Oryzias latipes: one gene and its partners. The protein of the gene in region 3 purifies or fractionates together with the protein of the main gene of each other region. This does not show direct contact. Links are inferred from orthologs where the notes say so. Each region holds a gene or a part of one and is shown on either strand. Other genes may lie near its edges. The genes, in order: ap2s1, reps1 and bmp2k.

Evidence for each region.
Region 1: the proteins of bmp2k (region 3) and ap2s1 purify together in Homo sapiens (affinity purification with mass spectrometry; 4 studies listed by BioGRID and IntAct, counting the BioPlex papers as one, with this or other methods). This does not show direct contact. The link is inferred for Oryzias latipes from reciprocal best matches to the Homo sapiens genes BMP2K and AP2S1.
Region 2: the proteins of bmp2k (region 3) and reps1 purify together in Homo sapiens (affinity purification with mass spectrometry; 3 studies listed by BioGRID and IntAct, counting the BioPlex papers as one, with this or other methods). This does not show direct contact. The link is inferred for Oryzias latipes from reciprocal best matches to the Homo sapiens genes BMP2K and REPS1.

Annotation. Positions count from the first base shown.
Region 1 is NC_019871.2:14,618,099-14,629,574, forward strand, and holds ap2s1 (AP-2 complex subunit sigma), read right to left. Parts: upstream 6,356-11,476; 5' UTR 6,204-6,355; coding exon 6,201-6,203; intron 5,758-6,200; coding exon 5,608-5,757; intron 4,941-5,607; coding exon 4,827-4,940; intron 3,959-4,826; coding exon 3,899-3,958; intron 3,347-3,898; coding exon 3,245-3,346; 3' UTR 2,188-3,244; downstream 1-2,187. Other genes in the region: ras-related protein Rab-4B, read left to right, coding at 348-463. UniProt on the Homo sapiens protein: Component of the adaptor protein complex 2 (AP-2). Adaptor protein complexes function in protein transport via transport vesicles in different membrane traffic pathways.
Region 2 is NC_019882.2:19,509,544-19,519,056, reverse strand, and holds the end of reps1 (ralBP1-associated Eps domain-containing protein 1), read right to left. Parts: intron 8,069-9,513; coding exon 7,947-8,068; intron 7,680-7,946; coding exon 7,599-7,679; intron 6,143-7,598; coding exon 6,055-6,142; intron 5,977-6,054; coding exon 5,875-5,976; intron 5,504-5,874; coding exon 5,443-5,503; intron 4,810-5,442; coding exon 4,611-4,809; intron 4,534-4,610; coding exon 4,336-4,533; intron 3,628-4,335; coding exon 3,538-3,627; intron 3,461-3,537; coding exon 3,306-3,460; intron 3,234-3,305; coding exon 3,128-3,233; intron 3,061-3,127; coding exon 2,992-3,060; 3' UTR 1,709-2,991; downstream 1-1,708. UniProt on the Homo sapiens protein: May coordinate the cellular actions of activated EGF receptors and Ral-GTPases.
Region 3 is NC_019867.2:32,752,585-32,763,325, reverse strand, and holds part of bmp2k (BMP-2-inducible protein kinase), read left to right. Parts: intron 1-365; coding exon 366-484; intron 485-2,371; coding exon 2,372-2,477; intron 2,478-3,488; coding exon 3,489-3,631; intron 3,632-4,946; coding exon 4,947-5,068; intron 5,069-5,797; coding exon 5,798-5,879; intron 5,880-6,797; coding exon 6,798-6,930; intron 6,931-7,198; coding exon 7,199-7,302; intron 7,303-7,376; coding exon 7,377-7,456; intron 7,457-7,575; coding exon 7,576-7,724; intron 7,725-8,794; coding exon 8,795-8,943; intron 8,944-9,011; coding exon 9,012-9,155; intron 9,156-9,896; coding exon 9,897-10,087; intron 10,088-10,741. UniProt on the Homo sapiens protein: May be involved in osteoblast differentiation.

The DNA of each region.
Region 1 (11,476 bases), on a different chromosome or scaffold from region 3:
CTCTTTGTTTGTGTGTGTATTTGCACAATTTATGTTGTTTTGGGGACCATATTGTAGTTTTAAATATGTTCTACATTCAAAAGATTTAATACCTTGAAGTCCCACTCCAATCCTCTTTTAACATATTTTAACTTTCTTTTCCACTGATCTTTTTATTACGATTATCTCATTTTTAACCAAAATCAAAATCCGGAGTTGTTTTCCTGCAGATCAGCAGTAGTTCATTAGAAATTCGCCTTTTGAGTTGTGGGTTGGTGTTGAGTTACCCCGCCCCCTCTTTTAAAATCTGTTTTATTGTATTTTATTTTGGTAACAGTTTTTCCCATTCTCTGCAATGGTCTCTGCAGGAGAGCTGGACCCAGAGAGGATGGGTTCAGGGATTCAGTATGGAGACGCGTCTCTAAGGCAGCTGCGACAGCCGAGAGGCACAACAACACAGAACAAGCAGCAGTGTAACTGCTAGGGGTCAGGCCACGCCTTAACCTGAGCCTGCAGCCCCACGCGGACAGGACGCCCCCTACAGGTCAGTGAGCGTTCTTGTCTGAAGTACTTAGACAAAAACAGGCCTCGCATCAACTTTTGGTTTTTGTTTGCTCAGTCCTTCAGTTCAGCTCCAGGTGTTTTGGTGTGTGTGACCATTCACCCTATAGTCTCACTCACCTTACATCACCTGGATGAGTGAGGTCACAAAGACTCCTACAAGCCCCTGGCCCTCGCTAAGCCTCCTTACCTGAGGGGGCCATCTTGCCCCTGCATCTAGGATGAAGCATCCCTTCAGTGTGAGCGTGATGGGGACATAAGGACGTGATGTCCTCATCAGTTGCTTACCAGACAAGGACGAGTCAACGGTGGTCCATATGGGCTGCTGTTGGTCAACCTTTTGATTTTTATTTCTTTTTTTATTCAGGTTTTAGAAACTTTGCTTTTTGCACTTGCACATTTCTGTCTGTAAATTCCTACTGTCACTGTTTGAAGCACTCTTATCTAGCGTCTCCTGACATGACTGATGATGAGCCCAAAATTAAATGTGATTGTGGAAACGTTTGTATTTCGAAACATGTATACTTAAAGAAATTGAAAATGATAGAATCTACCACATCCTTTATCCTTTTAAAGTTTTCTTGAACATTGAACCTGCTAACTATTGAATGTAAAGTGAGCCTCAGCTGGATGTTGTCTCTAAAGGCTGGAATCTGTATTTTTATTTGGTTTGCATTCAAAGTGTATATGTGAATATATAAAGAGTTTTACAAATTGTGAATTTATAGTTAGAATTCCTAATGATTCCACCTTTTCAACACATTTTGTTTACTCAGTTCACTGTGTAGCTTAAGAAGCACGAAAATAATATTTTTATTCCATTTAAAATCCCAAAGTCCCAAACGTACTTATTTATATATAAAATCTCTTTTTTTTTTTGGCCTGCCGCTGCTGGATTTTCTTTTTCCTCAACCTACTTTTGAATCACTTTCTACAAACACATGCAGCACAAGGGATGATCCTACAAACGACAGCAGGTTGTGCTTTGTTTTTGTAGATCCCCCTCTATTAAGGTTGGCTTTTCCCCAAACGTTGCCGATTGGAAGGGATGCACAGGAAGTGATGACTCTATCCTTGTAAGTCATCGTTGCCCTTCAGGTTTGTTTTCTAAACAGGCCTTTAGAGAAGGGGAGAAGAAAAAAGTGTGCGTGTGTGCACACTGAAGGGTAACTATAATATAGAACTGTCCAAAGTATGTAGAGTCCATTCGCAGGTATTTGGGGTTTTCCTCCTCTGAAAGTGCACTTTTATTTTCAAAATGTCATGTATGTTTTGTTTATATACTGTATCAAAAGAATTGTACATTTTATTTTAAAAGTCTAAGTAATAAAGATTTTGATTGTAGAGGGTTTCTCCTCCTTTGAGCCACTTGCCTCAAAAGGTTTCCAGCTTTGTTAGGATATCAGAAGGCTTATGTAATGAGTAAATAAATACAGGTCGTTTTTCTAATTAGTTTAATGCTCTTAAGTTGAAAGATTAAGTGGTTTAATGAAGCTGAAATAGATATATTGACTGGTTTATTGACCCGAGACTGGCTTGAGATGACATCACATTCATGTTACTGTTTGGCCACTAGATGGTGCTGCCAGAATTTAAATGTATTTTTTATAACACTGTACACATTTTCTTTGAAGAAATAACAGAAAAGCTGAACGATAAATCTGTTTATTTACACAAAATGGGACTGCTGATGTAGGCAGCTGAATTTAAGACAGTAACATCTTCCATTAGCACTCTATCAAATGCCAGGTGGGTACATAGTTCAATATTGTCTTCATGAAAAACCCAAAGTCTAACATGTGAAGCAACTAAAGGTAAAAATATGGGATTTCACCAGAAATGATAGTCCAAAGGGACAGTACTTTAAATGCACATATGACACTGTTGGAATGTATTAATCTCAAATGAGTTTATATTTTTGAAGATTAATCTTCGTGACCAATCATTTCACAATACTCACAGACAACACTGTTTACACAGATCACACAAAGCAAACCCAAAGTAGTGCTTCACATAAAACCCGCCTGTTTGTTCCGGATCGTTTTAAATGTTAACAGTGACCAAAGAGCACCGTTTTGATTGACAATCCTGCATTGTACCACCCTCTTACAAGCTCTGGCATCAGTCACACACATCTGCATATGTAAGCATTACACATGAACACAAGAGAACTATAAATGCCACCTAAAGACATTATTTTGGATAAACAGGCTACTTCAATCAGAGATAAGGTAAAGGGAAGGTGGGCCTGGCCTGAGTTTATGGGGCTTCTAAATTCTAGTGCCGCTAAAGAATTGCTTTGTTTAATGTGGGAATGAGAAGACTGCCGTCACAGTTGCTTCTGACAAATGCCATAAATGAAAAGATAACTGTGGAGAAGAACTCATTTCTGCAGCCTTTGGCTGTAGAAAAGCAAAAAAAAAACTCAAAGAAACTTGAAATGCTGACACGTTGAAATGTAGTGAAAGACGTCTTTTAAAACGATTCAGAAGGTTAGATAAAAAACTGCAGGGAAAAAAAAAAAAACGGCTGATTGGATATCTAAAAGTGGATGTTGTGTAGTCCTCGTCCACATGCCTGTTGTCACTTGGCATGTTGAAAAACTAGAGGATTTGTATATGAAGTGACATTACACATCAAAGTATTTGTATTTATATATATTTTTTGGATGTCCGGTGGGCAAGAAGGACAGAGGATTTTGTTTTTACTCAAGTGACTGAAGCATGAGAAGCTGCTTAAGGACCTTGGTCTGACTGGTCTCCCTGATCTCTCCTGCCAGGAACATCTCGTCCACTACTGTGTACACCTTGGAGGGGAAAAAACATAACAGACAAGGTCAGAAATGAGAAAGAAAAAAAAAAGGAAAAACCAAGAGTTCACGGGAAATTAGGTCACAAACTGAGCAAAATTGCTTCTCTTAAAAAATGCTTCCATTCCAAACTGAAAAACAATCTGTCAGCTTCTTAAAAACAACATTTTTGACATTCAAATGTTCAAAAAAATGTTCAACATAATTGATCCATTAAAGGAATACAGACCAGAATTCATGCTTTGAACATTTTAATGTTATAAATGTATCACTTCACAGCTTGTTAGTATCTTGGCAATAATTTGGAAGAACAAAACAGAAGAATAAGTGAATTAACTAACCATAGCAGAATGTTCTGAACAGGGGAACAAGGGAAGTTTGGAAATGTTCATTTAACTGAATTTTCAATCCAGGGGAGTTCATCCAAGTTTTAAACAGATAAAAAGGAAATTCTGTTGACTTGTCCTTCTGTTTATACTTTCTTGTACGAGGCATTTGTAAAATAAGTCAAAAGCAAATGGACAAATGATGATTTTCAAGTGCTCTTACCTTGTAGAAGTTGAAGACCAGGTCCAGCTCGCACACATTGTGGAAATACTCGTTCAGGACCTTTTAGAACACAAAGGAAACATCCTAAGCTTCATTCAGGAATCGGGAAAGACTCATGAGCAACATTTTGGGTCTCAGCTTGTTGAGAGGACAGCACACAGACTAATGAAGTGTCACTACAGACTGTTAAACTCATGGAAGTGACCGTTCTCCTTCTTCAAGCTTTCCAAAGCAACTGAATTAGCACAACACTGTTAATAACATAAATTACCATCAAATCATTGCCCATTAAATCTATTTGTTTGGAAGTTCACTTGAGGATAATTTATCCATTTGCTGATATTCACGTAATTCATTTTTTTTCTACATGTTGCTCACTTTTTGTTTTTAAAATTCAAAACAGATTACATTGTTGTCACAAGGAGATCCCAAACGATATCGTCTTATTAAATCTAAAATGATGTCTTTGGGTAAACTATAACTTTACCCCATGGAAATGGTATCTGTTAATGAATATTTTACAATTAATATAAATGATCTCAAGATAAATGTTGCATGATAAACTTTTAAGGGGTATGGTCGGGTTAAAACAAAACTTCATTTTTTCAATATATTGATTCATCAAATCTATAAACTGATTTTCTTTTGAAGCAACTTTTTTCAAGGGAAAACAAAACATTTTTTCAGCTATTTTTATTTGTAAAGTTTTAGAACAACCTATCCTTCTGAAAGTGTTAATCAAAATCTTACAAAATTGTTTTTAGGCAGAAATATAACATAAAACTGGTTGGAGGAATGATACATCATCAGTTTTTAGGCAAAACCCAGTCCTAGAAAATGATAAGTAAAAGGGAAAAAAAAAGGTCAGACACACGAAACACATTTGACCAGGATAACAAAATGATCAGAGCACATTATGTGTACTCACCTCCACAAAGTTGTGAATTCCCTCAAGGTATGCCAGGTTGTTATCAGTCACGTCCACACAAATGCAGAAGTAAAGCCCAGCATAACGCCGGTAAATGATCTTAAAGTTCCTGAACTGTGGGAACAAAGTGGAATCAGCCTGTTAATAATAGAGTTTCTCATATTATGACAACAGCAGATTTACTGGGGTATAGGCTCCCAGACTTTGAGGCAAAACACACCATGATAATTTTATGTTTATCATAAAAAAAATAAATGTGGTACAAACATATATATTCATCTTTATATCCATATTTAATAAAGAAATGGGAGGATTTGAAGCGGGATGTTTTTTTGCAGCAGCAGAAACAACTTTATTTGCTTATACAGAAACAGGGGAAAAAAATAAAAAATGAGTTAAAAAATCCCCCTGGGGTTTTTGAATAATTAGAGAAAATCTGTTAGCTGCTCCTCAAAACTACAATTATACAAACTCAAATAGAATTTGAGATGTATTTTCAATCACTTTTAGTTTCATATCAGGTAAAAACTTGCTGATTCAACAAAATGTATTTGCTGTGCGTTTGAATAATTTTGAGCTTGATGATGGAAGCATCTTGAGTCATAATTCTAAGTAATTTGCACGTGTTTGCACCAAATCTACTGAAGCATCGGTGAAGGCTGACAATTTAAGCTATATTTTCTTCTTTGAAAAACAGTCATCTACACTAGTTTTATCAAAGAAATCGAGCTAAACGAACACTGAACCACTGCCTGACAACATGAATAGTAAACTTCTTTACCTCCACGAAGTTGGTGTGTTTGGCATCTCTGACTGTAACCACAGCATGTACTTCCTCGATCAGCTTTTGCTTTTCATCATCATCAAACTGCATGTACCATTTGGCCAACCGGGTTTTTCCTGCCCGGTTCTGGATGAGAATGAACCGGATCTTTGGGATTAAAAAGAAAATAAGTAAGCAAGGCATAGCTATTTTTAAATCAAGAAATCAAGAGAAATGCGTAGCAGACGCCACAAATAAAGTGTAGCAGTTAATTCAATTCCAGAGATTAAAACATCCACAAATTTTCGAGGGCTCCCTCCCTGACTTAGTTAGTTAACGTTCTTGGCTAATCTGACAGCGGCGTTACATTAGCATTTGCCTCCCGACAGAAAACTGCGAACAATTTAATTGCTATAGAATTCATAAAATATGAATAATTTCTAAATAGGTTGTATTCCTTGTTTTGTTTTTTTGTTTTCTGAAGTCTAGCAAAGGCTGTCAAGTGACTCATTGAACGGCATATCGGTACGAATCCCACCAATGCTAGCAATTCAATGTTGAAAGACTATGGGTGGAAAAAACAAAACATGGAGGAAAAAAGGCGACGTTACCATATTCGTCTCCTTAGCAGAACCTTTGGTGACAACAATATCGAGTTCCTGAGTAACAATTTAGTGGTTTTACATTAAAAAGCAGTTATTCGGGCGAGAGCTCGTCGGTTATCTGCACTAGCTAACAGGAAAAAGGAAAGCTTCGTTGATTTGTGGTGCACCATGGGAAATGTGTTTTTAACGGTTGGATAAGAACTCCTGGAATGTACCAGGAAACTACAAACACCAGTGTTCATTTTTTAAGAACTTGTCCAGTTCTCAACAAGTCACATGATTTGCAATGGTTTTTTTATGTATCAGTTTTTCAGTTTTTTTTAACACCTTCTTTCTTTAGCAATGCACACTTTTTTGTGTTAAATATTTACACATTGGCGGGTTTTAGACATGGACATAGCGGTCAATCGACCAAGAGCTCTTGCTGCAAATAAATAAATAAAATAAAATAAAGAAACAAAAAACCAGGTTTTAAAACCGTGTATATTTATTAAAAGGGCAAAGCATTTTTTTTATACATGTCAATCTCTGTTATGGCCTTTTTAACAACCTGTCCAGGATGTACTTTGCCTTCACCCAACAGTAGCTGGGATAGGCTCCAGCAGCCCTGTGACCCTGAAAGCGATACAACTGGTGAAGAAGTAGGATAGAATGATACAATGTTAGGTGCAAATCATGGGGACTTCTAAAATATTTGGAGCTCTCTCCATACCTGTTAGTAGTCAAAAGGATGAGCCAGACAGTTCCTCTTTCATACAGCAGGTGTCTTCAAAATCCCAAATGCCAAAGGGTGTGAATCCAGACTCTTCCAATTTCACTTCCAATTTCATTTCTCCTGAACACAAGTGTGGTGAAAGGAAGGAAACATTTTCTTTTTCCTTTTTTTTGCGGAGGCAGAGGGGGGCGAAAGTCAAGGTAGAACTGCCACAGACACTACAGCAGCCATGGCTACAGACGAAAATAACAAAAGTCTAATTTGTATAGTATTCAATATTGTTTCATAACGAGTTAACTTTGGAATAAAACCCTGGTCTTTTTTATGTATTTGCAATTTAACATATTTTCCTCTTTTATAACTGCAAAGGAGAAATGTGGACTTCCTGATTTAATTTAAATGCTTGGGGAGACTGGGATTATCAGATATTGCACAACTGCAGCAGAAGGAATGTGTTTCCCCAAGGACCCAGCAAAAATTCAGCTGCAAATGTTGAAGAGGTTGAGGTCAGATAGGAAAAAAAACATGTTTATTATAAATAAACTACAATAAAGAGAAGAAAAAAGCCAAAAATCCTTTGTAAAAACTTTTTCTTCTAGTTATTTCTTTCAGCAATGTTTTGGTATATGTGTAAAAAAAACAGCGGAACTCTGTTAATGTTTTGTAAAAAATAAAATATCTTAAATAGCATTGTAATTTATTAGTTCAAGTAGATTGCTTATACTGTGCCTTGTCTGTGTTGAAATAACCGAAAATGGATTTGAAAACAGAAGCAGATCGTTCAACAGAAACTTTGACCCATGTTAATCTTTCTTTGCAGTGGGGTCATGCAAATATTGCTAAAAACATTAAGTGATACGATTGGACAGAAAACCAAATGTGAGCTTTTAACCCAGCTTGAACATGTATTTTTTTGGTGGCATAACTCTCTCAAAATATGTATAAACACTCACTTTATTACAAATTCCCATCCCATGAAAAAACAAGGCAACTCACCCCCTGATAACAGTCATTAAATTTTACATTTGTCTTGTTTTTTCCATTGCAGGGTGGTTAAAATTAAAATAAAGTTTAAGCTTTTACTGTTATTTAAAAAGCAAACTTCAGCTTTAATGTTCTTGTTGTCACAAGTTGAATAGTTTCTCTTCAAACTCAGTCATGTAAAGAATGGTGAGAGGTAAATTCACTGACCTTGTTTTTGCACAACATGACCAATTTGAAAAAGTAACCAAAATATTTTTAATTAATCCTTTTGGATTGAAAATTTTAGTTGGCTTTTAAAGTAGGCCCACTTCATTCCGCTTTCAAATAACAGCCTGCATTTTTGCATCAAATGAAACATTTGTGCTCATCGTACATGTTTAAGTCTGGATTGGGCTGTTGGAAGACGTTGAGGGAGGGGCAGAGTCACAGGGAATTCATTCCGAACAAGGTCCCGCTGCAAAACATTAAACATCTGTTTGAGCTCTTAGCTTGTTGTCTTTACAACAAATCAGACAATTCTTAGTTGTTATACTGTCCTCCTTAGAGACACAACTTAATTATCATTCAGTGGCTGAACTAATCACAATGCAAACATCATCAAATGATTCTCCTAATAGATGACTTTTCAAATCCAATTGAAATGATTCGATTTTACCTTTTTTTTTTTTTTTTTTTAACTTGTCCTGTCCAACAGCTAGGCAAACAGATGAGAGCTGAGGGCCTCTTGTGTTGGACATATTTTATTTTAACAAGAGGGGTTATTCATCTTCAGACAAACCAAAGGTATGTCTGAATAAACCCCTTTTGTAATTGAGGCCAAACTTTATTAATTTCAATCATGTTTGAAAATCTTTGGTGTTGGACCGGACGGAAAAGGAAAGAGGGGAAGAAGAGAGAGGGACGTTAGAGAGAGAGGGGGGTAGGAGGGTGATAATAGGAGGGGAAGGGGGGTAAGACCATGAAGCAGCATAGAGCAGACAGGTTTACTGGTTGTTTATCGTTACGGTACGGTTCAAATGTAGTACAAAAAGGGCGATTTTACCTTTGACGGGACTGTTTTTTTACTTCTTGATTAGACTGATTGGACAAATCAATGTCCAACGTGGTTGTGTTTATTTTTTAACATTTGTGGCCCTGTTTAGTACTCAGAGTTTTTGTTCCTGCTACAAACCCTGCTTGTGTTTCATTCTCTTGTGGCCGCGCTGTTTCCAATTGCTATCACTTTGCTTCTTGGTGTGGTCACTTTGTGTCTTGGAAGATAATTTACGTTTATTTATGACTGCTTTCGTTTTCCTCTCTGTTTCCTTACGATGAAACAAAGGACTTTTCAGACTTTTGTAGACCCAGAAGGTCATTTACACCTCCTCAGAGGTAGACACCAAACTTAAGTGAATAAAAGTTTTTTTTAACTCTCCCTCGACCCTCCAACAGCCTCAGAGTTCAGATGAGAGCCACGTGAGGAGTTCAAAGTTAAAACCTACTCTTTTAGAGGTTATTCCAGTTAAGCAGCATACTGTGACTTTATCTTTACTAGTATTTCATTTGACATTTTGCTTTAAAACTGTCTAGGTTGGCTCCTGAAATGTGCATTGTTTTTTTCCCTCCTGTCTAAACACAAGCAGGGAGCCTCTTGCATTGGACAGATACTATTGTTGAACATGGTGTATGAGTTGTTGAGCCTTTACTTTATATTTATGAGTTATTCAATAATAACTGTTTAATATTTTAAGTTAAATGTGTTACATTTGAATCTTATTTGTTTTTATGTTGATCTGATTTGAAAAGTATTCATTTGTGTCACTGTATTTTTTATATATTGTAAATTTTATGAAGTGCACAAGTTGTTTTTATTTTTTAAGGATAAAATGTACAATTTAAATATGAAAGGTGTGTACTGTACCTGGGTATCACATTTTGACACACTTATTTTGTGTTTCGAGAATAAAAACTGTCTTTTGCCATGTTAGTTTTGCACAGTAAAGTAGTGCAACTTAAATTCAGGTAAATGCTGACACATTTAGCTTGTTTTAGTTTCTGTCCTCTGTGGTAAATGTTGGTTGTTTCACCCCTGTTTGGGACTTGTATTATTATTTTTGGAAAAGTCTACATCTTTGGCTAAATGACACTGATGCCAACCAGGTTAGACTTGTTTCTTTTTTTTCAAAGCTACTATTTGCAACAGCTGTTTTGCTTTACCATTAAAAAAAACCTATGCATATTTCTAATTCAGACTTTTCAGATTTTTTTTAATTGCTTATAAGACAAATCATCTGGTGGGTTTATTTTTTTGTAGTAATGAGTCTTGGCAATACAGTTTTATTTCCTTTTTAAACAGACCCACCACTGCAAGTGTTGAGGCCCTTTTACCCAATTTTTCAGTCTAATAAACAAAACCACTTTCTAAAGTGCGAGGAAAGTTAGATACCAGACACAACATTTCATCACTTTTTGTGCCATGTTTTTATTGAAAAATCAATGTTGCTCCATGGTGTGTTGTTGTGTACTGTCAGGCATCGCCAGTACCAACAGCGTGCTTGTTGTAGTTGTGTCCACGAACCACTGGGCGAGAGTCTTTCTGTGAGCAGGAGTGGAGATGCTGGATTCACAAGGTCCGCCATTATTGGGAAGCCGGAAAAAAAAAAAGAAGCGAAGGGAGTGAGGGGCAGAGGGATAGACAGAGCGCGTCACACATTTTCTCCAGCGAACGGCTCTAGTACATCAGAAAGGAGATCTCGGGGCTTCCTCGCGCGCCTCCGCACGCGGAAAACACCGTCCCGCTGATTTACGGACGCTTTTGGGACCGCGTTTCCTGCCGACTCTTGTGTTTGGGACTCGACAGAGGCGAATGAGAATCGGTCAAAACAACGTGGTGGCGGAGCCAAGAAGGGAAAACACACCGAAACAGCGCTCTGCAACGCCTCCCATTTTTTTCCTCTTCGTAATACGTTTGCAGTCGCTGTGAAAGGACGCGAGTTTGAGGGACATTTTCCCCCCGCTGCTAATTTAATCAGTATGATGTATTAGTTTATTTCCGATTCAGAGACAGCAATCCTCCACTTCACTTGTCCAGAAACTTCAAACAGTCATTTCATGTCTGCGGGAGCAGACGGGCAGACAGCGTGTTTACCAGACCAACTGAAAATAATCGATGTGAGTTTTTAGGGAAGCGTTTCCCCTCCCAAACACACACGTTTGTGTTTTAAAGTCTTTTCCCAACTGAGGAGCACGGATGAAGAACCGAAGCGCGAGACTGGACTGATTTGGTACGTAGACGCTCCTTATTTCCCCTTTCAACGGCGTTCATGTAACAATTAGACAGTTTTTTCAGAGGAAGAGAAGCATTTAAGGGCGAACATGGACATTTTTCCTCACCTGCTGCTCCAGTTGCGCCAAAGTCCAGGCAAAATCGAGAAACTGGGAGTCGACCTCATTTCGCTTGAGGGCAGACATGATTTTATGGCCCCCAAGTACCTCAAAATGATCATAATTATAATACTTAAGATGATGCTCGGGGTGTATACTTAATAAAGCAGTTTGTAGGGCAAGTCAGGGTAACCATGAGCTTGTTAAATGTTAAATTTAG
Region 2 (9,513 bases), on a different chromosome or scaffold from region 3:
TGATGTTGAAAGACTAACTTGTACTAAAAAAATGGGACTTCAGACTAGAGTTCATTTGTCAGATCCAGCCCCAGAGGAGGAGCAGAAAAAAAGTCAGACGTCAGTGTTGAACATTTCTGTTGGAAGTCGACCCCGCCCCCAAACAAAGATGAAACAGTATCACGTTCTGGCTTGAATTGAGAGGATTTCAAGTCCGACGTGGCCAAATTTGACTTTAATAAAAATGGGCGAGACACAAATGATTGACAGTGATGGAAGACGACGCTCTTCCGGGGCTGAGTAGACCGTCACGCTGGTTTCTCTGTGGCGGTCCAGAACCTCCTGGGCCACCACCAGATGTCGCCCGGAACTTAACGGTCAGTCAGTCAGAGATTTACTCAAAATATGCTTCATTAGAACATAAGATGGATCTGAAATAAAAATAAAGGTCCAAAAATAGTCAGCACAGCTTTGATATGCTAATAACACCGGAGATATTGCCAACACCTAAATAACACACGCTCTTTGACATGCTGTAAATTGTTCAACGTTAATCAGCTGATTCTGACGCACTGAAAAATGGCTTTTATATGGGGTTTGCACCAACACACAACACCTTACATTAGTAAAGTTAGCGTAACGGTGCAAGGACGCTTCTTTCCGCGGCAGAATCACCTGATCTATGTTGATGGAGTAGACACTTCTCGTCCGTCAAGTTTTGCACATCAGTGCAGACGTACTTTTCTCCGCTTTAGAATCCGCTGGAATTATGTTAACTGCGCAAGCGGTTGAGAAGTTTAAAAGAATGTGAACACTGGAGCTAAAGCTCTGATGTTAAATGGCTAAATCTAAAGTAAAGTCAATTTTTTGGAGCCAGAAAACAAGTCACTTTGTTTGAGTGATGGAGGTGTTTGTTTTTTATCTAACAAACCAAGTAATGTTTTGTTTTTGGTTAACTGACATGGTTTCAAATACTTTTAGTTTTTAAATGTGCTTCAATCTGGAAGTGAGCGAGTTATTATTGTAGTTTCATGGCAGCCAATAATTGAATGAGCAGAAAGACAACTGAGTCTTTTCAAGGTGGAACCTGACAACGCTAACGAATAAGCGAAATTATCGATTTTCACATGAGGAAAAACTTACAGCACAAAAAAACCCCGCTGCACTTTCTTACCTTTGTCTTGGGTCGTTGGTTAATCCACGTTACAGCTGCTGTGTTTTCTAATAAAGCCTCTAAAAAAAATGCAAGTCCCGCCCAGTTTCCTCACCGGATTTGACAGGTAAATTTCGGCCAATCATATCAACCAGAAAGGTTAGCGCCCCAAGTGACAAAAACTTCCTCTGAACACTGCACGCAAACCCAGCGAGAGCGCAGGAGCGCAGATGGCAACCGTGGAAAATGCGGGGTCGCTCGGTTGTCAGGTTCCTCCCTGAAAACACTCGCTCAGCTGTCTTTGTGCTCATTAAATTTAAGTTTTGGATGGTTAAGTCCCTTCATTTCCCCAAAATAAAATGTTATTTCTTAATTACAAAAAACAATTTGATTTGTGAGTGATACTTATCAAAGTAATTCAAACACATGGTAACCTTTAAAAGATACTTAAGTCTGAAAACTGTTTTCTTCCAAATCCTTAAACTGCTGTTTTATTTTTCTTTCGTTCCATGTGAATCTAAACAAAAGGTTCATCAGAAATCCCTCATATAGGAACAGATTAAATAGAGTCGGGTGTAAAATAATGTCACTTTTTATTTTTGTGTAAAAATCACACAGCTGCTAATGAATCCTGCAGAGATCCAGGACGTCCATGCAGTTCAACATCTAGAGTCCCACAGCCAGGAGAGAATTAAATAGATGGTTCTGGTGCTGTTAGGCAGCAATGGATGCAAAATGTGCACAGGAGTCCAGGGGGAGGGGGGGTTCCAATATACATCACACGGGGTGGGGGTGGGGGGCTAAGAGCATTCAAACTTCTGAATGACTGATTGCTTCTGCCTGCATGGATTGCCTTTATGTCGTGTGATAGGGGAGGGGGCAAACATGGAACATTTTTGGGTTTAAATAAGATTTCCTCTCAACAGATCTGAGGTCACTCCGTTACCGCGGAAACCTGAACGCCTGAATAGGTAAGAGGGTGTGTTGGGGGAACTCAGGGGGGGTTAGGAGGAGAGAACAAACTGATTGGAAGAAACCAAGCGCTCTGATTGGTTCGTTTCTTCATCTTAAAGCGTTTTTAAAAGAACAAGGCGAGTATAAACTTTTGTGTGAGGTGGGGGGTGGGGTCAAAGTGCGGCTGGGTCGTTCAGGGTTCTGCTGACTGAAACTGAGTTCTACTGATCTGTACCGACACCAGAACCATAAGCACGCAGCAGATGGAAGATCTAAGATATAAAACAACAACAAAAAAAAGCTTTTTCCGCTACGATGAGAGCGCCAACCTCTGAGCCCGAGTCCCTCTGTCAAAATGCATAGTCCCGCCTTTTTTCTGCAGAAGCTCCGCCCCCAGCATCAGCTCCAGGGAGGAGAACGGGGGCTCTTCAAGTTTGTACAGAACTTTTTTTTTCCCCCCCAAAGAGTGAAATGTGAGACTGAAGAATCCGGTCGTTTGGCAAAAAACGCTTCCGTCAATCCCTAAACACTGTAACACCAAAGACAGACACCAGGGGGAGCCGGCGTGTTCCTCAGAACGGAGTGAAGAAGAAACGCCTGTTTGGGTCCAGATCAGGAGAAATGAATTAAGGAAGCTGGAAGACGTTTTCAAGGAGCGGGTTTGGGGGGGTGGAGGAGTTCGTGAAGGTCAGGCACTTGACCGGAGTTTGGTGTAGACACACACACGCAACACACACACACACACACACACGCACACAGACGCACAAGCTTTTGTTTCCTTCTTCAGAGTCCGGACCGCCGGACCGCCAGAGAAAACTGGAAAGTGCCGAGTCAACCGCCCCCCCTTTCTCCCATCCGTCATCCACATCTGATTGGAGGAGAGCCGCGTGGCCACAGTGGGGGGGTTAGAGGTGCGAGAAGGGCCTGAGCTGCTCCAGCTGCACCTCCAAGGAAATCCTCTCCTCCAGCAGGTCCTGCAACGCCACGAAGCCATCAGGAGACGCCCACTCCAGGAACGGCGGGGAGGGCGGGGCTTCTTACCTTCAGCTGCTGCTGCAGCTCGCTGTTCAGCCTCGCCAAAACCGTGTTCGTCTCCTTGTTCCTCCGGATGGACGCCTGGATCGACTTCTTGTCTTTTCCGGCCGACCTGAAAAACCAACGACCTTTTCTTACGGAAATGTCAACAAAAATCTGTGACGTCAGCAGGCCCCGCCCCCACCTGGGGATGGACGGCTGTGTGGCGAGGACAGCCGCCATGATGTTGGACTTCTGCAGCCCGTGCTGCTCGTCTTCAGGCCGCAGCTCATCCTCCGACTTCAACCTTCTACGGACCGGCTTTGGGGGAGGAGCCAGCGGGCCTGAGGAGCCCTTAGCCTGATGGGAAAAAAAGGGGAGGGTTTAGTGGAAGCGGCTCAAAGAAAACCGAAGCGGAGACGGTGTGAGTGACGCACAGAGTTCACCGCCGCCGAGCTCCTGTCATCTGCAGGACCGTCGCTCTTCACAGTTCTTAAAGGCGCAGCGCCCTCCGCCGTCTTCTCCACCTGAGGACACAGAGGACAAAAAAGAGTTGGTGTCACATGGGTGAGGATGTGCTGAATAGAAATGCAGACTCACATGTGAGCAAAATGAAGGTTTTGGGCCCCAGGTTCCAAAGGGTTAAAGTTCAAACTCCGATAATCTTTTCAAAATGATCCCTGTGGTCTTTTAGACGTTATTGTGCTGTTTTTAGCAAAAATCCATCGACATAGTTTCTGCAGAGCAGCAGGAGTTCATTGGAAATTCACCTCTGCCTTGTAGGCGGGGCTGTTGGGGCGGAGCAACCCCGTGCCCCCTTCCCCTTGCCGTTACTGAGACCTCATGGCCCACCCAGTGTATCTTCTACATCACAAGAAAGCTTTTTTTCTCCAACAGCATTTTTACGTCTGCTTCTGATTCATGACATAAGTTCCAGAACGGACCATTCATTGATGTGCGCCCTATAGTGCGGGCTAGTCCTCATACACCAGATGAAACAGAGCGACCTGCAGGTTCTGTAGTCGTTACCATGACGATGCGTCACACCACGTACCAAATAGACGGCTTATTGTGAAAAATGATGTCAAAGTTAAATATATATAGATTAAAGTACAATTAAATGTTTTGTAAGTGAGCGCGGTATGGGTGGGACAATGCCCTTCTAGGTGTCCATTAGACGAACATTTCTGAATGGGATGAATGAAGCTGTTGGAAGGTCTGCAGGAGACGCTCACCTGTGCTTCCTCGCTGTGCTTGTCCACCTCTGGCAGGCTGGACGGTTGCTCGGAAGCGGCGAAGGCCTGAAACTGGCTGAAGTCTGCGAAGTTGGGCTGCTGTGGGATCTGCTGGGGGGAGGTGGTGGTGGCGAGCGCCGCTCCCCTTGCCGGGCCGGCCTCGGTCTCCACCCGAAGCCCGGTGACGGGCACCGACGTCTGCCGAGGGGCGGCGGCAGGAGACAGATGAAGTAACAGACGCACTTTGAAACTTACAGTCCTGACTGTGCTGTCACCTGTGTGGGGAGGGGGCGAGGAGGCACTGCGGGGGGGAACGCGATCGCCGACGGCTGCACCGCTCCCGCAGCAGTGGAGGCGGCGAAAGTGCGATTCATGTCCAGAGACGAGGAGCGGGAGTGAGAAGGGTGGGGGCGGGGAGGGGGAGGGGGCGGGGCTACCACCTTCAGAGTCTCTGGAGACGTTCCCGACTGGGACCTGGATAAAAAAGGTCAAAGGTAACAAATAAAAGCAACCAAAACAAAAACATTACAGTATCAAGTATGCTTTGAGGTTTCAGAGGAAGAGTATAAAGAAAAACCTCAGAGGGACCAATGAGGAACCCTGAGGAACCCCCACAAAGGAATGAATGAGGAACTAAAACTATAACGTAAACAATCTTAACTGGATTTTTTTTATCTACTTAAAGATCTAATATACATTTATAAATATCACACATTACTCTTACAGTTTTATTAAATTTTATTTTTAGGAATTCATGATTTCCTTCATCCAAGTTCCGCTTTTTTGTAGCTTAAATCCATGGTTATGGGAAAATCCTTTAATTAACCCTTGTGCTATCTTGTGGGGTCCAGATGACCCCACCCTTACATTGACATGTTCTCCCCACCATGACAAAGGTGGATAAAGGTGGAAAGATTTCATGTAATCCATGGACACCAGTGAAGATCACAAATCATTGAAGAAAAAAGGTTCAGAGCACTGTCTAGTGGGTCTAGATGACCCAACTCCCAATGGTAAAGTGCCTAGGATAGCACAAGGGATAAACCAAACAGAAACACATTCATTTGATCATGACTCAAACCACATAGACCTGACCAGGACTCAGACCTTTGTCGGGTGATGGGCTCCGGGTCTGAGGTGAAGGAGTCTGAGCTGCTGTAGCCGTCACCTGCAGGAGAAAAAAAATACAAGAAGCTTGCGGATGAAGATTTCTCTTTAGTATTTCAAAAGAGCAGTTTTACTTTGAGAAGTTACAGTAACTTGTTAGCTAAAGTAGATGCCGGTGGGTCGTCTAGTTCTCATTTACTGTCAATGGTTCCCTTACATTCAACATGTCTGCATACCCCTTTAGCTATCTTGTGGGGTCTAGATGACCCCCACTTTCAACGTTAACGTGCCTCGGAGGCACGTTAACGTTGAAAGTGGGGGTCATCTAGACCCCACAAGATAGCACAAGGGTTACATGTGACACGCCAAACACGCAACATGCCGGCATGACCCTGATGAGTGGTTAGAAAACGGCGGGCAGGGTGGACTCACCCACGGCGTTGGCGGCAGCAAACTTCATGGAAGCAGGCAGCTTGGCTTCTTCGGACAGTTCTGGGGGCTTCGCCAGCAGAGGACTGGCGGGGTGGTTGTGGTCTGGAAAAAAACAACAACAAACGTTTCTTTTTAATTTGCTGAGGGTTGTGTACACGAGCAGTGAAAGTGGCGTCTGACCGCTGCCGGTCCGCTTCAGCTCCATCTCCTGCATGTGGATTTTACTGGGCGTCATCCGGATGGGAACGGGGTGAACGATGGCCGTGTCCTGGACAAAAGAAGGAAAGCTTACTTCAACAAAAAGACATAAGCGGACAAACACTAGAGAAGACACCATGTATCAATCCACTCAATTCTACAGATTTGCTAAAAAAAAGACTTGGCTTTTCTCCACATCATCACATATTTTTCATTTATATTAAAGTCAAACTCCCTAACTGAACTTTTTTCCAGACATCTCTACAGTTTCCCTTATTATCTTCATGAAAAGCTATCATTAGAAAACATGAATGCAGAACAGCTGAAGGGAAATAGGAGTTTTGTTGACTTTTCTCCCCTTTTTTCCCTCTTTTTAGCCTCACCAAACTCAATGTAAAGCCTATTCTGATGAATTCCTATTCAAATCAGAGTCCTGCATCTTTCTGTTGAGACACTGAACCACTGATTTACAAACAAACACATCTACAGCGTTTGTCCAATAAAAGCAAGCCTCTGTTTTGGCTCAACTCTGCACCTTTGGACTGCATCGATGGAGACTCTCCAAAAACCTCAAAGTGCTCTTTAACCTTTAATTCTGAACACACCGTCACACCTCAGACATTTCCATGAAGCTACAGCGGTGGACATGCAGCCATTCAAACTCTCACTCGGATCATCTTTTGATGGATGGTCTTTGAATTATGATTGTGCTGTTTTTAGCAAAAATCCAAAACCCTGTGTCCTTTTCTAGTTTCTGCAGAATAGCAGGAGTTCATTGGAACTTCATCTCCGAGAAGCAACTGGGGCCCGCACTTCCCGTCATCCATCTGTTTACTTCCTGTCCCCTCTTACAATCCCTCATGCCCCAACCCAACATTAGCAGTGAGCAACATAGGAGCTTCCAGATTCCAGCTCAGACGAGGGAAACAAAGACGTTCATGGATGTATTTGTCTGACAGTGGATGATCAGAATGGAGCAGAGCTGCTCAGCATATTTTCTTTGTAGCAACTTTTTCAAAATGGCATTTTTTCCCACAACGATTAGAATAAAGACTCTTTAACTGTAATTTCCCTAATATTTGTCCATCATCAGAAAGAAGCCATAAGAACACGTTAAAAACACTATTTTCAACAGAGCGAGTCTTTAAAGAGTCAAAGCGATGTGTGTTCATGCTAGACTTTTCCCTCCGCTGCTTCTGATTCTGTTCTGCCTGCAGGACATCGATGAAAGCAGCAGAAAGCGACTAAATCCTGGCTTTCAGATTCCGATGGCATCGTATGAAGTGCAGAGCGGTCGTCCGTCGACTAATGTGTCAAATTTTCAGGACTGCGTGTTTTCAAAGGAAGCTGTTGATTGGTGGATGTCAGCGTGGAGGAAAAAGGGGATGCTGGACAGAGGAAGGCAGGCGAATCACAACGGCCGCTGAGCTGCAACCCGGAGACATTCATGCTCGGAGACAGGCAGGGCGAGGGTTAATGGGTCGCTGCATCACAGTGACAGCATGCAGACTAAGTGATTGACTTACAGGGTCAGCTGGTGCAATGTTAGAGTCAAATTGGGTCAGAGTTTGAGAGCTGGAGGAGCGCTCGCTAAACGTCTCCCACTGCTGCAGGAGACAGACAGAGAGTGAGAAAAAAAAACAAAAACACGTCAGTCAGCGGCGCGGTGACATCACACATGAACATCATCAGTCTGCGCCGGTGCGATGACGGCGCGCCGGAAAAGATCAGCAGAATTATCAGAGATTACATTGAGGAGGAGGATGGAGACAGACCACAGCAGGCCGATGAGGAAAACAGAGTCATGGATTCAGAGTCAAAGGCAAACGCGGCGCTGAGGTGTTCGTCTGTGAGCGTGTGCAGAGCGCTCAAACCTCGTTGCTCTGGTTCATCTCGGGCCACGCCTGGTTGAGAGACGGCATGGAGGGGGACTTGTTGGGGGTGCCCTCTACAGGTGATGCCGAGTAGCCAACATCTGGAGTCGGCTCCGGGACTTCTGAGGGGAAACAGGAAAACCGTTTCAGGTCAGAGGTAGAGGTAGAGGTAGAGAGAGAGATGCCTTTATTGTCATGACGTTGAAGCCATCACCATTTACAGTGCAAAGACAAAAACTTTCCAAGACAAAGTATCGTCTAAAAATATCACTGTGTACAATAGGTGCACAGTGTACAACGGAAGTGTCCAAATATGCAAAATATGAAATGTCTGTAATTGTGTGCAGAGGTACAGCTATAAACATGTCTGATGTGCCAAAACAGCATGGAGGCGGGGAAGTGTTGACAGCTTTACGATGGATACATACTTAAATAACAGAAATGTAGATGGACAAATACACATGTATTAAAAAAATATGCGTTTGGTATGTGCTGTGGCAGATTTTTAGACCGGCTTAATGTCCGATTATTATCATGAACTGGCCTGAGTTCATCTGTTTGTCTGTTTTTGTGTTTTATAATCCAATTTTCCCGGTAAAATGGTTCTACATGGAATCTAGTCTGAACAGACAGTTGTAGTTTCTTAACAGAAGAATATCTAATGCTGCTTTGATTTAGGAAAATCCTTAAATGTCCCTTTAACAAGTTTTTGCAAATTCCAATCTGTGCATTTAATCTCCCTCCTCTATAAAGTATCTGCAGTAAATTGTTTTTGTTCCTTAGGCTTTGTGTAAAGTTCGATTCACATTTTCACTGAACTATTTCAGCGAAAGCCACAAACCAGACACCAACCTGTGGTGGATAAAAACAACTAAATGAAATGATAAAAGCCTCACAAAAACGGGTATCTTCTAAACATTCTGTGCTTGGAACTTGATTAGCATCTTCATATCATTAGACAGCTATGAATTAATATTATGGGGTGGTGAAACAACTGTGAATCCAGATTTGCAATAAATCTCCTAGTTTTTATTTTGTCCTCTTCTGACTCTTTTCTGCACAAAGAAACTTTTCAAAGACGTTCGTTTTTTTGTCAACTAGTTTGATGGTTTCATTTCGGCGGTTGGAAGAACCGCTCTAAGAAAGTAACGAATGTGTCAAGACACAAAACTGAGGATAACGACTGGACACGAGTAAAGAGGGAACCTTAGAAGCCAGGAGTTTTACCAAATCAAAGCTTCCTTCAGAACAGGATCATAAAGAAAACAGAAATAATGTGAGGTATGCATTCATTTTCCAGGACGGATCCTGGTCCTGAGGTTGGGAACATGCACTCTGTAGATGAGACAGAGTGAAGAATGACTTTGATGTTCGCCACGTTTCCAAAGTCAAACTTGGACTGCAAAGATCCGTGTTGGTTTTATTGTAGGCAGCGGCTTGTGTCGAATGTTTAAACACCTTTTTTTCCAAATTCTTCAGGACTTTTAGTGCCTAAAACCTTGAATCTCTTTGATGTCCAAAGCTTAGCGCTTTCACATCACACTCCTTTCAGCATGGACTTTGGAAA
Region 3 (10,741 bases):
GCATGTGTGGGTTTTCTCTGAAACCAAAGAGAGACTGTGTTCCTGTGGTGGACCTGACTTCCCTGCAGCCCCCCTGTAACCCTGTCTGAGTTGGAATTGGTGATGGGGGAAGGAATCTTTTGTGTTTCCTGTAGAAATGACTGGAGAAAGTGATGCAATGGTAGATATTGTTGTACTTCCTGCTGCGACGGCTTGATCTGCCCTGGTCCAGGAGCAGGCGGTGTGGAGTCTATGGGGCTACGATTACCGACCGCAGGCACAGCAATGCTGCGGGACGCCGTGCTGTACAGGCATGATGCTGAGAAAATGTCTCACTTCATCCACAAAGAGTGGTGTGCCTAAACTTTACGATGTTTTTCCTGCAGGAGGATTTTCTGTGGTGTTCATGGCCCGAACGCACAGCGGCGTCCGCTGCGCTCTCAAAAGGATGTATGTGAACAACGTGCAGGACCTGAACGTCTGCAAGAGAGAGATCACTATCATGGTACGGCTTTGGTCACGAGCCAGCGCTTCAGCTGCAACAGTTATCTTCTTCTCAGCTGAAGCCTTTTGAGCTGCATTCCGGTGCTTTCCTTCATAGAGACGTTCTTTGTAGTGAAAGGCATCTCTCTAAATACATATGTAACCTGCAGATCTCCAGTAGAAAGTGACCCAGCAGGACTTCACTGTTCAAGCAAGCACTGATATGAATGGACTTCATGTTTCCTTTGAGCAGCCAGTCATAATGTAGAGTGACCAGAGGTCCTGGTTTAGGGAGGAGGCAGAAACTCCTGTTGGCTGCTCACACTCGCCTGTCCCTCTTCTCCCCCACGCTCAGGTCCTCTCCCTTGATGGGCTCCAGGTAATTGGTGGGCCCCGCCCAGGAAGAAAGTCATTTTAGCCACACAAGAAGAAACAGAAATGCACATTTTCATGGAAACTGTACATTAAACTGCTGTAAACAAACAGACATAAAATAATAAACAACTCAAATCATTACAAACCACAATGGTAATCAAACAAATCCAACCCCTGCCCCCCCCCACTTTCTTATGCCCAACCCCCAAACAGGAAGTGAAGGCCGCTGCCAGAAAGGAGAGCTGAGAAACCAGAAGTCAATAAACAAATTTAAACCTGTGTATGTTCTGGATCCGCTCAGCGGGGCTGGGACAGACGGGTGATAAGTCGACACAAGCTGCTCACAGAAACAGTTTTACATTTAGATGGAGACAAAATCCAACCATAACTTCCTGAAAACCTCCTGTCATCCCTTGTTAAGCACACGTTGCTTAGCAACAGTCAAATCAGGGACAGCTTTAAAACTATCGATGCTGGTGGGATTTCAGAACAGACGTGTTCATATTTGAATTTTGAATTTCCATTTTGTGTAAACTAAGAATGCCTATACATTGAATAAGGTACCTCTATGTTTAACAGAAGTCACAAACATGCTGGAGTAACAAGCTTGTTTCTATACAACTTTCATCCAGACCATAAACTTGCCCTTTTAGGTCTCTAATGTGCACTTTACAGTAACATTAATGTTGAAATGAACACTAAAAATCATTAAAAGAAGACAAAACTTCCAAAGCGATGTGTGTGGCAGAAGTTCCCGTGAGGTCATGTGATCGATGGCTTCCTCTTTAGACTCCAGTATTTCCAGTTGAGCAGCTCTGACAGGCCTCTGCTTCCCAGCGAGGCTGAAGGAGCACAGCAGTAGCCAACGTTGGCCTCTGGTATGTGTGAGAGCTGTAGTAAAGTGCTGCAGACTGCAGAGGAGCATCCGCCTGCAGCTCCGTCTGCTTCTGTCTGCACGGCCTCGTCACCTGGAACACGGACTTCCACCCCTGCACTTGCCTCAGGTGTGTCCGTGTTCACAGCTCTCAAACATGCCGGGAACTGGGGATGGAATTAACCTACAAAAGTAGGAGGCAGGAAGGAGGATAACAAATGGCAACACATCTCACTATTTCATCTTTTACAGGGTTTAACCCTTTTTCACCCAAGATGCCGCTGGCAACACCTGAACAACACGCTCTTTGATGTAAATCTTTGACCGTTCACGGAATCGCCATGAATCCGCTGGTTCTGATGCGACGTGATGTCATAGTGGCACATTACTAACATAAGGTGTTGTCTAGCTGCTTTTCTCTGCAGCAGAATCACTTCACTGCCATGCGGTGTTGGTTATCAGCACTAGGCTGCTTTTCCCGCTCCAGAATCCTCTGGAACTACCTTCAGTGCAATAAAGCAGTACGATGGTGGATAGAATGTCAACACTGGAGCTGATTCTCTGCTGTTGAAAGGGTTAATCTGTCTAAACCCCCCCCGGTCAGTATTGCTCATTTGTGCTCCTCAGTGTTTTGCCCTGAACTCTCTGTCTTGTGTGTAGAAGGAGCTGTCAGGCCACAAGAACATCGTCACCTACCTGGACTCCACCATCAGTTCTTTTTCAGACAACGTTTGGGAGGTCCTGATCCTCATGGAGTTCTGCAAAGGTACGGCCTGTGTTTGTGCACAGAGCTTCTAACTGTGTCTGTGTCTCTCCAACTACCATGAAACTATAACACGCGGGGCGGTGTAGTGCCCAGGATTTTAAAAGCAATACGCACCGACCACACGCTCACTGCTTTGGTCTTTAAACTGCGATTATGACGTCACCCATTTCACAAAGTAAAATTGTGTTTTAGTGTTTTATGACTCTTTATGAACTGTCCTGATGATTAAAACATTGATGATTTATTAAAAAATACATTAAAATAGTTTTTCTGCAGAAATTGTTCAGACACATTGCATTGTGGTCTATGTATGCCAGTCTAGTGAGCATCGATGCACACTGGCTTGTTGCAGAGACTTCTGGGTTGTTTCTAGGGCTCTGGATTTTGGAATTGTAGGTTCGGACAGCACTAGAAAACGGCGAACGCGCCATACAGCGCAGGAATTCAGACACAACAGAGAGATTCTGCTTTTCTCACATGACCTCAGATAGTATGAAACGAAAGTAGAAAGAGATTAAGCAGAGGAAGAACTTCTGCAAAACTCTTCTCCTTCCTTCAGACTTTCAGTTTTTCTGCTGGGACACGGCGTCTGTGAACAACCAGCCTCCCTAGAACTTTAGTGGTCTTCCAGACTCTGGAGGGGTCAGCGATGGTCTTCTGATAATGTCTGAAGTCTTCTGTGTGTTCCACCAAAATGAGACAATTCAATGAGACACGGTGAAGCTTGCAGACAGTTTGTTGGTGAAACTGTTTAAAAACGTATACTTTCTGTGTAACATAAGTTCCATTGCCAACAAAGAAGTGGGCTTCAGACTTGGGCATCAATGCAGACGACTCTTTTTGGTCAGAGATTTGCTCAAACACTTTTTATGAGCGGGAACCGATTGAAATCGTAGAGTCCTGGATCTATATTCTATCTGGCTTGTTCGGTGACTCTTGCAGCTTTTTTCTGTCCCTTGTTGAACCCGTTCTCCAGCCTTGGTCTTGACGTTTCTGTTGGTGCTCCTGCAGCGGGTCAGGTGGTGAAGCAGATGAACCAGAGGTTAAACGTGGGCTTCAGTGAAGCTGAGGTCCTCCACATCTTCTGTGACACCTGCGAGGCCGTGGCTCGCCTGCACCAATGCAAGACGCCCATTATCCACAGAGACCTGAAGGTGAGACGCCGTTTCCCCTCTCCTCACCCTTTGGGGCTCTGAACTCACCTGTGTGCAGCTAACTTGAGCTTTGGATGGTTTTGCTGTAAGGTTACAAGGGTTTTTCACCTTCACTGAGAACCATGCCAACTGTGGTCAGAGAGTCTCCACAGAAAGGACACTTCATGTTTTCGTTGATATTCGGAAGTGAACGCTCAGGTTCAGTGTTACATCCAGGCTCTTAGATCAATCTGTGACTTTGGATATAATACAGACCTGGTGAAGTGGGGGAGTTTAGAGAAGTCGGCGTCTGTCTCCAGAGTTGCTGCTCTGCTTCTTGTTGGCGTGCTTCAGCGCGTGACTCGGCCTGCGATTCTGACGCCTGTCAGACTTTAGCGTGACAGCGCTGCAGACGACAGCAGCCCCTGCAGTGCATCGATGTGTTTTAGTCTCTGATTTCCAAAGGTCAAAGTTCGTAATAAATGTTTCCACTGAGCAAAGAGCTGCCAGGACGTTTCTGAGGAAGATGGACATTCTGAGCCTCATGCAGAAGCTGCATCGTCTTTCACACATTCCTGCCAGAAGAGGGCTGCGTTTTGATGACACTGCCAAGCTTGAAGCGTCACGCGTGATCAGGAACTATGGTCCCAGGATTTCTCACTACCAACCTTGTTTCACCAAAAACAGGGTGGATCTGCCAGACTTTGGGAAATCCCTGTCCAACCGTCCGTTCATGTGGTTCTTTTTATATTGAGTCTGCATTTACTGATGCTCAGCAACTGATGATGATTTCCTGCTGTGGCTGTACCCCCCCCCCCAGCGCCCCGTCAGTGGGAACGGTCCCTTCAGCCCTCTGTTGTCTGTCGGCTCAGCTTGCGTAACGCCGCAGGGACACAAAGGAGCGCGGGGGCCCGGCCCCGCTCTGCCAGGGGAAGTGAGAGTGCAGAAAAGTCCCCTGACGCTCAGAGCATGAACGGCTTTCTGTCAGAGGTTCGGTCCTCTGATCATCAGAGATCCTCAGCGTAGCGTCATTTAGGTTCCTCTCCCCTCCTCTGCTTTCTTTTCTTTGCGTTCTTTTTGCTCTGATTCTTGGCCGTGCGTTTCTTCTAGGTTCCTCGTCACACGGCTCGTGTTTTGTCTGGTGGTGGTGCTCCAAAATAAGAAAACGGTGACATGGATCAATGCTGATGTTCTGAGCTTCTATGTTGTAAAGATTGGAGTGTGACACATGCAAAGACATGGGACTCTGACGTTCAGTCACCAACACGTCTGTGAACATGCTCGTCACTTCCTGTCAATGACGTTTCCTGTGTTTGTCCTCTAAACGCCTGCACAGGTGGAGAACATTCTGCTGAACGACCAGGGGAACTATGTGCTGTGTGACTTTGGCAGCGCCACTCACAAAGTCTTACTGCCTCACAAGGATGGAGTGACAGCTGTGGAGGATGAAATCAAAAAGTGAGTATTGTTCGGCTACACCTCTGACTACAAAGGAGGATGGCGGTTCTCTGCATGACTCAAACCATGCAGTGTCAGTGTCAGGTGGTAATCTGCTTCATTCCTGTCCGTCTTTGTTCTGCTCGGAGCAGCACTCCGTCATAACATTACAATAAAAGCTTCATTTCCACCATGGATTTGGATCTCTGATGGGCAGAAATCGACCTTTGATCCCTTCAATCTCACAGCTTTAATCAGCAGGAATTCTGCTGGATGCTTCACTCACTAAAGGAAAAGGAGGATTTGTAAATCGGGCTAAACGTCTGATTTGGTCTTCATCAGTGCGGGTCATGTGGACCCACAAGACCATCCATGTTTGCTGCTAGTTGGTTTTCAATAATGGCAGCAACCTTTCAAGACGGATCAGTGGAAGAGAGAATAAATATGTGACTCCACGTTCAAGGCAGATGAGTGACAGAAAGGTTAGAGACCCTCCTGTGTGGGGTCAGAGGTCAGAGTTTGTATGAGGTTCATCAGAGCGTGTGAGCCAGAGATCCTGATGGACTCCTTTATATTCTGTAACAAACCCTTCTTGTCTCATCATTCATTCTGCCTGAAATCTTTCCACTGATCCATGATGAACTGCCTTTCTAAGTCCTGGTATGTTTTCGTTCTCCGCTCGGTGAAGTGTTGTTATGACCTCCGGAGACCTTTGACCCGTCGCTGACACGCCTCGTGTTCCTCCTGCAGGTACACCACATTGTCCTATCGGGCTCCAGAGATGATTAACCTGTATGCAGGAACCGGCATCACCACCAAGGCTGATATTTGGGTAAGACCCAAATATGGTTGGGTGTGCAGCGTCCTCCACACCACAAGCAGGACTCTGCAGTCCCATTCAAGCCTCCTGTGTTTGTCATCAGACGCTGGTGTCCTCGGTAATGCTCAGAGTGGGCTTTAGCTGTTTTCTGGGCACCGTGGTCAGAGCTGGAATCAGATGTTTTAGTGTCGCTGCAGGAATGTGGCTGTCGCTGACTCATCAACTGCACATGAATCACATCAGCTGTACTGTTTGGCAACTTCCCCCTGCAGTGACACTTCCTGTTCTTTCCAGGAAGTGACTCTATATGTTGAGCTAAGGAACAGAATCAGGTTTCTGTGGTGTGGATCCTGTCTGATCTACTGGATCAGCTGTGTGAAGAGTTTGTTCCAATCGTAGCAGATGAAGAAGAGAGATCTTCTTTACTCTGGCTGGTTACAGACACACCGTATTCTCCTAGAAAGGTGACGTCCACCAGAGCCAAGCTGAGAGCAGGTCTGCATGAGGACGAGGACCAGAACAGGTCATTTTTAGAAAAGCTTCGGTTTCTTGAGCTCAGCTCCAATGCTTCTTCAGAAGAGCTGTTGTTTCTGACTCTGATAAAGGCCTTCATGGCCTGTCTAACAGGCTGGAACAGGTGAGGGGCGGTCCTTCAGGTGCAGGCGTGGCTCACAGAGCCGGCTCCTCTGGTTCTCATGTGCTCGACAAACGTGTCCCAGAGGTTTGATTCTCCTGTTGTGGAGACGCTGCAGTCATTTGAGTCGTCTGTCAAAATCCTGGTCTTCTGCTTTTTCTGTTCTGCATTCATGCTGCAAAGTCCAGAGCCTGTGACCCCCCCCCCCCCCCCCCCCAGCACCTGAAAGACGGTGTGATGGTGGTGTGGGCCCACACATGCATGTCCTCCTGAAGGCTTCCTGCTCTTCTCCTCAGGCCCTGGGATGCTTGCTGTACAAGCTGTGTTTCTTCACTCTTCCTTTTGGGGAGAGCCAAGTTGCCATTTGTGACGGGAGCTTCATCGTTCCGGATAACTCCAAGTTCTCCTGCAGGCTGCACTGCTTGATCAGTGAGTGGCTGATGTTGGTTCATGTCCCCTTCCAAAGGCTGCCGGTTCAACCTGGCGTGAGGCGGGTGACCCAACATGCCGCCTGCAGCGGGTGATCGTGTGGAACAGTGGACTGTGGTCTTTGTTCCGCCGCGCTAACAGCCTGTTTGAACCGGTTGACTTTGCTTTGATTGACGCCCCCCAGCAGGATGTCCACCCCTGTTCAATGTTGGATCAGCAGCACCACCAAGTGGCCAAAGTTAAAGATGCACTTTTGTGTCTGCTTCAGGATACATGCTGGAGCCGGACCTGGAGAAGAGACCAGACATTTACCAAGTGTCCCACTTTGCCTTTAAGTTAGCGGGAAGAGAGAATCCGGTACCAAACCTGTGTGTGAGTGTCTGCACTCGCCCCACTGGCACTTTTGCACCTGTGCAGGTGTTGACGGTTCTGTGTGTGTTCTGCAGAGCTCAGCCATCCCCACATCGCTCCCGGAGCCGCTCACAGCCAGCGAGGTTGCTGCCAAAAAGAATCTGACAAAAGCCAGGTGGTGTGGCTGTTCCTGCAGGCTAACACTTCCACGCACACCGCCACGCTGGTTACAACATCACAGACGGTTTGGAGGTTTGTTGGTTGTTGGGTTAAAGGTCAAATTCTTCTGTCCAGGATAACCGACTCAGTGGTTCCAACTGAGACCTCCATAGCTCCTAGACAGAGACCAAAGGCTGCAAACTCCAACGTTCTCCCCCTCGCCAACACCGTCACCCCGGCCAAGATGACCGTGCCTTCCACAGCCGTCAGCAACGGCCAGAAAGGTAACGGATGGGTCCAGTGTGACGGCACAGCCATGGTTTAGCCTGTTTCATGCTAACCAGCTTGGATTTGAACTGCAGCTTTTTAAAAAAAGCTTTAAAGGTTGGCATGAAAGCAAGGCTGCAGAGCCAAAGCAAAGACGACGTGCACAGACCAAAGCACCTCCTCCTTGTTCATTCTGTACCAATAAAGGGAGGAAGCTGTTTGGAAGCAGTCATGGCAGTATTTCTATTCACTAGAACTGAAGTTTTCATCCACATTATCTGTTTTGATCCATGCATTCAGACTCTTTTTTTATTAATATCTGTGAGGAAACTGGAGATTCTAAACAGGACTGTAAAATAGGTAAATTAGGCTGGTTCGTTCCTTTCAGTTTCCTGCACACAGAAATGAATGAATAATGACTCAGAGACTAAACTTAGCTTCAGTGAAGATTTACTCCGCACAAATTTGTACGAAGGGTTACAGACAGATGAACAGGGTTGCTGCATCAAAGTCCAAACAACGGAGCTCAAAGTCTGAACAAAGAAAACAGGGAAATGGGCTTGGTATGTGAGCCCTGCATTTGCATATTCAGAAGGTCTTCCAACGCACAACGATGTGAAAATCACAGCCACAGACTGTTGCAGGCTAGGTGCTCGAAGGTCAGAGAGCTTAAAGTGTCAGATCTCTCTGAGGTCACAGACATCTGCCAGGACACCAGCACACACAAAGATGAAGGGGAGGAGACTGAAGGAATGTCACCAGACAACAGTCTTGGTTGTGCAAATGTAATATAATTTTGAGGTGATAATACATAGTGAATCAAGTTTAAACCATCAGTGTAATAAAAAGTAAAAGTTAGTGTAATAAAAGGTAAAGGGGAGTTTCTAACTTTTCTGTTTCTAATTATTCCTAACAATATCCTTATTGTTGTACCGTTTGGTTACAATAGGTGTCACTTATGGCATTTCTTATTTCTTTGACTTGATGAAGTATTTCAGCTTCCTTTTCTGTCAACAATCACACCAGCTTTTTCCCAGGAAAAGCCTTTCTGCTCGTTTTCACCACACTCTTCATTTGGACCCCTCAGCCCCCACTACCAGCTCTGGACAGCCTTCCATGCAGGCCCAGCCGAGCTGTCTGCAGAACCGAATCCTGCAGCAGCTGCAGCCAGGTGATCTGCGTCTGCAGCAGCTGCAGCAGCAGCCTGCAAATGTGCAGCAACTCCAGTACCTGCAGGTACGGACACGCACAGCTCAAGGTTTTGGGTTTTCACACTGAGCTCTGACGGACATGACTTTGCTCAGTACCAACAGGCAGTGCAGCAGTCCCTCCAGCTGCAGCAGCAGCAGCAACAGCAGCAGCAGGTCTTGCTCCAGCAGCAGCAGCAGATGATGATGATGCATCCCATGTACCAGCAGCAGGTCGCTCAGGCCCAGTATGCGGCTATGGTGAGTTCTGGAAAGAGTCTGGATTTGACCCAATGGCTGCCAGGACGCAGTGTACTCAGTGAAAAACTGCAGACTTCATCCAAACACATTGAGGCGCAGCGTGAGGTCCATGATCCATTCCATGTCAGAACGGATCCGTTTTGTTCAAACCTGGCAGCAGGCCGTCTTCACTCTTCACCAGCCACTTGCCAAGCAGCATCACAAGCAGACGCTCAAACTTCCTGCTGAAAATCCGTATTTACGCAGCGACGGAGTCAAACACAAACACAGGTCCTCCAAACATGCAGGAAGGGTGGCTCCATTTTTAGCCCGCTCTCCACCAACTGCACACCATCTGCTCCACTTCAGAGGCAATCTGGTTCCAGCAAAGCCACCAGGACTCTGGAAGGCTTCAGTCTAGCACCAAAGGGAGGAGCTTCCACTGACACCTCCGGTTCTCAAGACGCCGCCTGCCCCGGCGCTTCCTCACTGGTCCACTGTGGCCTTTGGCTCTGGCCTCATCAGGAGCACAACAGTCCTGATCGGGCCCTGACCCAGAAATCTGCTAGAGCTGTAATGAAACGGCCATGAATGCATGTTTTCATGTATCGTGTTTCTTCTCTAACAGATGTTAACGCTCAATAACCATTTGCTGCTGTGTGTTTGAGGACTTGAACTGTTTTGAAATGTTTTCTTTCATTGCATCTCCATGAACTCAGTGGTCCGCCCCTCATTCCCTCCCTCCTCCTCCTTCCCCAACAGCTGCACCAGTACCAACAGTCGTTTGTGCAGCAGCAGCAGCAGCAGCAGCAGCAGCAGCAGCAGCAGCAGCCTCTTCCCTACACATCTTCCCCTTTGGAGTTCCTGGGACCCTTTAATGCCTCCACTCCCACTGCTGGGGCCGCTCAGATGGGAGGACCGTCGGCTCTGGATCCTTCATACGCCACCCCCAGGTAACATACCGGATTCGCCTGTGGGTGGGAGGGGCAGAGTCACTGCTGCAGCTTCAGCTCATATTGAGAAGATTAAACATCTCTTGAGGAACTGTGTTACTATGGCAACACTAAAAGTCAATGGACTCAGAGCTGACCATTTCCCTTTGCTGCTCCCATGTGACGCTTTGCTGAGGCGTTTCACTCCGTCTAAAAACTCCAGGTGGATTGTGGCCACACCGTGTGGTGTGGAGCTGACCACTGATCAGGGTATGGTGGCCCCAGAGGTCTAAACAGGAGGAGGGTTTGGACACCGGGGAAAATGGGATAGAATGTCGGTTGATGCTCAGTAAATGATGTCTGCCATTTGCTTTCACTTTTTCAAATGCTTTTTTATTTCATAACACGCCTTGCTGAGGGTCTTAACCGGCGTTTCTCTGCCGGTTAAGACCCTCAGAGCGGTGGTCCCCAACCTGTTAAGCGCCACGGACCGGTATGGCGTCACTCTCAATGTTATCAGGGCCGCTCTTGAACAGGTAGCAACGCTACGATGAAGGAGGAACAGAGTCGTGACAAGACGTGTCCTGAGCTTTTATTTTGACATGATGACATTGTACATGGCACAGGTGTCACCCCCCCACACACACTCATGGTGCTACAAAGATGCACTGTCTG